Linked DNA regions of Astyanax mexicanus. The main gene of each other region encodes a partner of the protein of the gene in region 2 in a complex. Links are inferred from orthologs where the notes say so. Each region holds a gene or a part of one and is shown on either strand. Other genes may lie near its edges.

Region 1 (3,755 bases), on a different chromosome or scaffold from region 2:
GAATCTAAAAATATAATACATGTTCTGGATTGTTTATCATTTTTTTGCGTATTAAATATTGTATAATAATAAACGTTTTTCTTCATAGTTGTGATGACTTTAGTATTAATCTACAATGCAGAACATTTTAAAATAACAAATGTGACAGTAAACCTTTTTGCTCTGGATAAAACGACTCCTCCCCTGTATTTTTTATCCTGGTTGCAGAACTGCAGTGGATCCATTCATTCAGTGAAGAGCATCCATACACACAAACACACTGCATCATACTGCAGATTATATACACTCACCTGCTCAGGTAACCAGTGATATTACTCCACAATACTCCTGTTAACCTATAAACACTATAAACTGTATAACGCTACTGTCTGCATCATAAAGAGCTGCACTAGGTGAGGAGGGTGCACTTCACTGTGCTAGTGTGTGTTTAGAACACTTAGCTCGTGTAAAGAGTGCGGGCCGCCATTGTGGGCGCGTTCCAAACCCTTACAATCAAGTCCACTAGAAATGAAAGTCTCTGTCAATGAATGCTATTCACTTGCTATTAAAAATAAATAAATAAAATAATAAATAAAATAAAATGTATTAGTTAAATAAAAAACGTTAAACAATTTATATATTTTTTATTTATTAATTTATTAAAATTAATTTATTAAAAATAAAAAATAACAGATTTTGAAACAACTGAGTATGTTTTTTCTTTGTTTGTATTTGGTCTCATGTTTTCTTGCATGAACATCAATGTATAGTAATTAAATTACATTTTTAAGATCATGAGATAATGAATATAGACCATGATATATATATATTTTTTTTATTTGGAATTTCGGAGAAATGTTGTTTGTAGTTTATAGAATAAAACAATAATGTTAATTTTACTTAAACATAAACCTATAAATAGCAAAATCAGATAAATTGATTTAGAAACTGAAGTGTTCTCTTAATGTTTTTCAGAGCTGTACAGTCCTTTAAAAAAAACATATCTAGTGCACAGGTGTTTAGGCCGCTTGTGCGCGGATTGGAACGCGCCCCCTTTTCTAGACAGGCATCTGTGTGAGACACCCCTCTACATCATCTGCACGCTCTCTCTGGGGTCCTTTCTGTCTCCGCGAGCGCCGGTGTTTCTGGAAGGTTCTGCTTGGTTTCGGAATCGTCCAGAATCTGCGTTCATCCGACCCGAATCCGCGGAACCGAGACCCGCAGACAGCCCGGTACCGTTCCCGAGACCCTCCCGCACCCGGACCGAGAGATATATCCGCGGGGAAATGCCTGAAGCAGCGGCGCCGAAGGGGAAAGGAGGAGCCGGCAGAGGGGCGTATGTGGACCGGGATAAACCCGCTCAGATCCGCTACAGCAACATCAGCGCCGGGAAAGGTGGGTCCACGGAACCGCGCAGACCCGCAGGAACCCGCCAGCTCTCGTTTACCCCCCGGTTCCGCCCGGTTTACCCCCCGGTTCCGCCCGGTTTACTGCTTAAAACACGCTTTAATACCCGCTGCAGTGTGGAGCTGGAGCTGCTCCACCTTAAAACAGATCACCATTTAAGGTGGTATTTGTGTGCTGCTGGTCAGTTATTGGGATTATGTAACTGTAGAATAGGTAGGGACCCCACCCCAGCATGGGTTTAGATGCGTGGGTCTTTGTGACGTCACAATACCCCCTTAAAACCACCTTAAGTTGCTCCTGTCAGCTCCTCTTTGTTCACATGGGCTGATCCTGCAGCAGCAACAGTTCAGCAGCTAGAAATCATCAAATACAGTAAATACAGCTCTAGAAAAAAAATAAGAGACCACTTCAGGTTCTGAATCAGTTTCTCTGGTTTTGCTATTTATAGGTTTATCTGTGAGTAAAATGAACATTGTTGTTTTATTTTATAAACTTCAGACAACATTTCTCCCAAATTCTAAATAAAAATATTGTCATGTAGTGCCTTTATTTGCAGATAATGAGAAATGGCTGAAATAACAAAAAAGACCTCAAGTTTTCTTTGCATTATAAGTTCGTATTCATAAAGTTTTAAGAGTTCAGAAATCAATATTTGGTGGAATAATCCTGGTTTTTAATCACACTTTTTATGCATCTTCGCATCATGTTCTCCTCCATCAGTCTTACACACTGCTTTTGGATAACTTTATGCTATTCACATCTGGTGCAAAAATTCAAGCAGTTCAGTTTGGTTTGATGGCCTGATTATATTCCAGAGGTTTTCAGTTTAAATTATTCGTGAGATATAGGCTGCACAGTGCCTTAGTAAGTGTTTTAGTGTGGGTGTGCGATACGGCTCTAAAGTAATATAAATATTATTTTATGATAACGATGTTCTTTTTGATATGAAAAGACTAAATATTTTAAACCAACACTACTGCAACAAAATAAAAATTTAATTTTATTACTCCATACAATATAATATGGCACACCTCTAACGGAGATATTAAAAAAAAAAAAAAAAAAAGAGATAAATGATCCAAAAGGTCATCTCCATATATCCAGGATGTGATAGATGTGATCATTAGGAGTGGGTGATATGGCACAATATTTCAGGGTATCCTAATATCGTTATACAATATATATATGTATATAATCAGTCCTACTATATATATATATATATATATATATATATTGTTTTTTTTGTTTTTTTTACGATGATGGTCTTGATGGTCTGGTATTTCCTTTTGTGTTATATAGCTATCCTACCTGTTCAGATCATATTGTATTTTAATATTAAATCACATACAAATTTGGTTTTAATTTCATAGGCTGTTCAGACTTGATCTGGATACAGTGTAGAATAAATTCAATGAATTGGACTTGGACTGACAGTTTAAAACATGACTGAAGATGCATTCAGCTCTTACTGTGATCCATTCTCACCTCTTCTAACAAAGAAAGACATTATTAGGTATGCAGAGTGATTGCAGAATCATATTGGTATCAACCAATGATTTTCCTTTTTTTAGTGTTTATATATATATACTTGCTGATGTATTTATGGTATGCCTGAAAATGACCAATCAACACTGGCCACTCTTCTACAATTGGCAGACGCTGGCTCATTTTAAAATTATGATTAATTATTATTTATAAATATGTATATTTCTTGATATATACATGTACTTGTCACATCAGTGTATCTCCAGGCATCATTATTAATTAAGAGCTGCTAAACTCAATAACGACTGTCCTGTTTTTGATTGGCAGCTGTCGCCGATGCCATCAGAACCAGTCTTGGGCCGAAGGGTATGGACAAAATGGTACGTCATTCTTCTCTCTTCACTTCCCTGTTTCTAAATCCTCACCCTGAGCTTCCTGTCAGTCAGTCAGTCAGTCTGAAGGCTGGTTTTAAATGTGTGTAGCGGCTCAGAAATGCGTGTGTTTTATACAGTGTGGAGATGGATCAGTTTGCTGAGTCATGGTTGGTTTTCTATCACTCTGTTTATGAAATAACTGTTTTGTTCTTCAGATCCAGGATGGTAAAGGAGATGTGACCATCACTAATGATGGAGCCACCATCCTGAAACAGATGCAGGTGCTGCACCCTGCTGCCAAAATGGTGAGATATAAAGAGGTTTTTTATTTATTTATTTTTTACTTCTACTTCTTACATTTTCACACAATTATTTGAACTTTCCACTCCTTACATTTTAAAAACAGCCTCGTTATTCCTATTTCATTTCAGCTCGTAGTGCACTATAGGACTCTGTGGGCGTGGCCTAAGCTTTTGTTCTTTTTTTTCTCCTTGCATTGCTTTTACTTTT
Region 2 (3,755 bases):
TGTTCTTGAGTGCAGCCTATGAGCCCGCTCATTGGCTCGCGGTGGAGTCGATCACTTCACCAAGGCAACCATAGAACGTTAGGAAGCGGACAAGTTTTGCGGTGTTTTGCAAAATTTTATCTCCCTTTTATCTCTCCTTTTATCTCCCGCCTTATCATAAAACAACCGCAAACCGCTAGAGGGAGCCATCGAGTACTAATCCGTAATAAAACTCCAATTAAAATAGTGTTAAACTACTAATAAAAATCCTTTAATTTTAGAGAGTATAATTAAACATTTTGCTAAAAAAGCGAAGGAAACCTACCTGTATATTTCTTTTTCTTTTTCTTTTTTTACAGCAAACGATTGGGGCATTCGACCGAATTAGTGCAATTTGCTTGTTGTAACTCTTCCAAAATAACCTTTTTTTTTTACTTTTGTCAACTATAATTACACATGCCCATAACTATTCAAAAATGTACTGGTCAAGCTCGGGCAGATTTGTTTATTTTTTTACAAGGTTTCTAAACCAAAGAAGTTTACAAAACTCATGTGACATTTTAAAAAAAGCATGTTTAAAAGCAATTCTACTATTTCCTTTTATTTTCTCTCAAAAAAGTCTTCAGGTAGGGTAATGTGTTTCGGTAACAGGACTGATTGAAACCAAGGGACACAACTAAAATGTGTATTTTAACTCAAATCTATCTATCTATCCATCCACCCATCCATTTATCCATCCATGTATACACTCCTTTAACTATTAAACGCTATTAGCTGGCATATTATTGTGTCAGTGTCCCACCCTGAGTGACAGCAGGGGCTGGAGACATGTCCCACCTCCCTTCACCACTAACCCTTACAGAACACATGTCCCACCTGCTACTGTCCCCAAATGTCTCTCCAGGATACCCCCCCTCTCTTCACCACTAACCCTCCCCAAACACATGGTACATTCCCTTACCTTATTTGGTCATACTGAACCGGTGCCACCCGCAATACAGTCCCTCTGAGTCACACCTCAGAGTTCAGCGTTTTTAAATCCTGTCAGCGGACTGACCGCGCGCATTATTCCTCTAAATAATTTTTATATTTATATTTATATATTTATATAAAACACAAGCTGACCGGGGAACAGTTTGAACTGCTGTAAAACCGGCAGGATTTTTTTCGGGTTTGTTTCCAGCCGGTCAGGGATCAGTGCGGCTCACTGTGCTCCGCGCTGTGAGACAGAGCTCCGGATCTGAGAGGAACTCCACCTTAAAACTTACAAAATGCAGGTTTGTCCTTAAACTAATCGCTTTTCTCATCAATGTGTTTGATTGTGTTTAAATGTAGCTGTTAAATAAGCGATTTGATTCCGTTTGTCGCCGATCCGGCGCTGAAAAACAGCCATTTATTCCCGGAGTTCACGGGTTATTTTAGACCAGACACGGAATTGTCAGTTCCACCTTAAAACTCTTACTTACTGACCGCTATCGCTGAAGCGCAGGGAATACGAGAGCCTCACTATTTAAGGTGGAATGAAGAATTCGATTGCGAAGCTAACTTTAGCTTCGTTTATTTTTGGAAGTTTTTATTTTTAGTTAAAAATGAACTATATCGCTTAAAGGGTTGGGAGTTAAAAGACTTCACAATCCTTTTTAATTGTTAATTCATTTATTTAAAAAAAATATTTTATGTAGCTAGATTGTTTTTTTGTTTAAAAAATGAGGTCTGTATTTTTTGGATATTATGTAAACCTAGAGCTGGACGATATATCAATATTTTATTGTATCATGATACATTTTCTTACCGTATCGATAATATGTTCTAATAAGCATGTCGAAAATATCGGATAAAAAATATTGGATGCTGTGCAGATTGAGTAAAATTCACTGTATGAAAACATATATCATTTCCGTCCAATGAAAAACAAGTATTAACGACTGTATTGTTATATTAATGTTTGGCTATATTATCTAGCTCTATGTTAAAAGTATATTGTGATATATATATATATTTAAATTCTTACTATTATTTTTGTAACTAGTACAACCACGACAAGAATCTTGGCATTCAATTATTTTTTGACTTGATTTTTTTCCCAAAAAATTAATAATAAGAATTAAAGTTTGCACTAAACTTAAGTGGATGGTTTTAAGGTAATGTCACTCTGTGTGTGACTGGCTTTAATTTTAGGACCCAAATGAAGACACTGAGTGGAATGATATTCTCCGGAGAAAAGGAATCCTTCCCCCTAAAGAGAAGCCGAAGGAGGATGAGGAAGAGGAGCAGATTATTCAGCAGCAGTCTATTGGTAAGAGTCTTCAGTGATGAATCTGAAAAGATTGAATGTTTTTCTTATTAAAACTGTATCTGACAGTTCTGTGGTTCTGTGCAGTAAAGACCTATGAGAGCATGACTCTGGACGAGCTGGAGGAGAATGAGGACGAGTTCAGTGAGGAAGACGAGGCTGCTATTGAAATGTACAGGTGAGTTTAGTCAGGAGTAAATAAAGCGTTAGTGAATCATGTTGGTGTTTCTGTTTGAGTGTGTCTTCTTATGCTTTGTTTTGTGTTTTTTAGGCAGAAAAGACTTGCAGAGTGGAAAGCTAACCAGATAAAGAACGTGTTCGGGGAAGTGAACGAGATTTCTGGACAGGATTACATTCAGGAGGTGAATAAAGCTGGCAGTGGGATTTGGGTGGTGCTGCACCTCTATAAACCAGGGTAAGTTTGGGTTTAACCCAATACACCAGTTGGTTTAAAACACAGTGTCCTGCATAGTCTTGCCTAGAGGACAAAGATATTCGTTATAATATCAAATCTTTACCAAATATTTGTGAAATCAACCCAAGAACAAAAGCAGGTTTGTTTTAACACAGTAAAAACACAGACTACAGTCCAATATACTCACCTCTGAACGGCGAAAGTGCTAGCACTGCTGTTAGCAGTTAATGCTAATACTGCTCTAGCCTTAGTGCTGGAGAAACTTCACTAAAACTCACCTGTATAACTCTGTACTTCAGTGGAGTGTCTTTACTGCTCCTTAATACCTGACTGATAGAATTCATACATAAGGAGCACCGGATTATAATATGTAGTGGTGATTTTTGGGAAATTAAAGGATTTTAATTGCTTCTTATAGTCTGAAAAATTCTATAATAATATTTCTTATGGAAACTGTTTAAACACTTCTGTATTTCTATGTTGTACAAGTAAATTAAATATGAGATTAACATGTGAGTTCCATGATGCCCACAGAAATGTACAAATATACATACGTATACATATTTAGCTACTTTCTAAAAAAACAAAAACAACACAATAGTTTTTATTTGTAAAAAAATATACTAGTCTATGGTTATGGTTGTTTCCAGAATAATTATATTTTAAATAAAATTAGCACAAAGCAATATAGGTATGATCTGATTCATCCTGTATAATTATATACCACATTATAGTCCCACATTTTAAAACATTGCAGTGCAGAGGGCACTTAAACTGATATATAACTTATTGATCTGTCTGTATCTTGTCTTCACTTTTATTCCTCTGTGAATCATATGAATTAATAATAGTATAATTTATATATATATATATATATATATATATTTCCTCCTCAGCATCCCCCTCTGCACACTCATAAACCAGCATTTATCAGAGCTGGCGCGAAAATTCCCACAGACAAAGTTCCTGAAGTCCATCTCCACCACCTGCATCCCCAACTACCCCGACAGGAACCTTCCCACAATCTTCGTTTATCACGAGGGAGAGATGAAGGCTCAGTTTATCGGT

The links. Proteins that work in one complex are often made in the same cells at the same time.
Region 1: the proteins of pdcl3 (region 2) and cct4 are in contact, whole or in part, in a cryo-EM structure (PDB 8I9Q), measured with the Homo sapiens proteins. The link is inferred for Astyanax mexicanus from reciprocal best matches to the Homo sapiens genes PDCL3 and CCT4. Residues at the interface, in NP_076970.1 of Homo sapiens: Ala70, Ile71, Tyr74, Arg75, Arg78, Leu79, Trp82, Lys86; in NP_006421.2 of Homo sapiens: Val266, Gln271, Met272, Leu276, Glu279, Arg280, Leu312, His315.

What each region holds. Positions count from the first base shown.
Region 1 is NC_064428.1:33,705,814-33,709,568, forward strand, and holds the start of cct4 (T-complex protein 1 subunit delta), read left to right. Parts: upstream 1-1,075; 5' UTR 1,076-1,265; coding exon 1,266-1,374; intron 1,375-3,198; coding exon 3,199-3,251; intron 3,252-3,460; coding exon 3,461-3,550; intron 3,551-3,755. UniProt on the Homo sapiens protein: Component of the chaperonin-containing T-complex (TRiC), a molecular chaperone complex that assists the folding of actin, tubulin and other proteins upon ATP hydrolysis.
Region 2 is NC_064418.1:366,145-369,899, forward strand, and holds the start of pdcl3 (phosducin-like protein 3), read left to right. Parts: upstream 1-983; 5' UTR 984-1,250; coding exon 1,251-1,256; intron 1,257-2,157; coding exon 2,158-2,275; intron 2,276-2,359; coding exon 2,360-2,450; intron 2,451-2,543; coding exon 2,544-2,687; intron 2,688-3,583; coding exon 3,584-3,755. UniProt on the Homo sapiens protein: Acts as a chaperone for the angiogenic VEGF receptor KDR/VEGFR2, increasing its abundance by inhibiting its ubiquitination and degradation.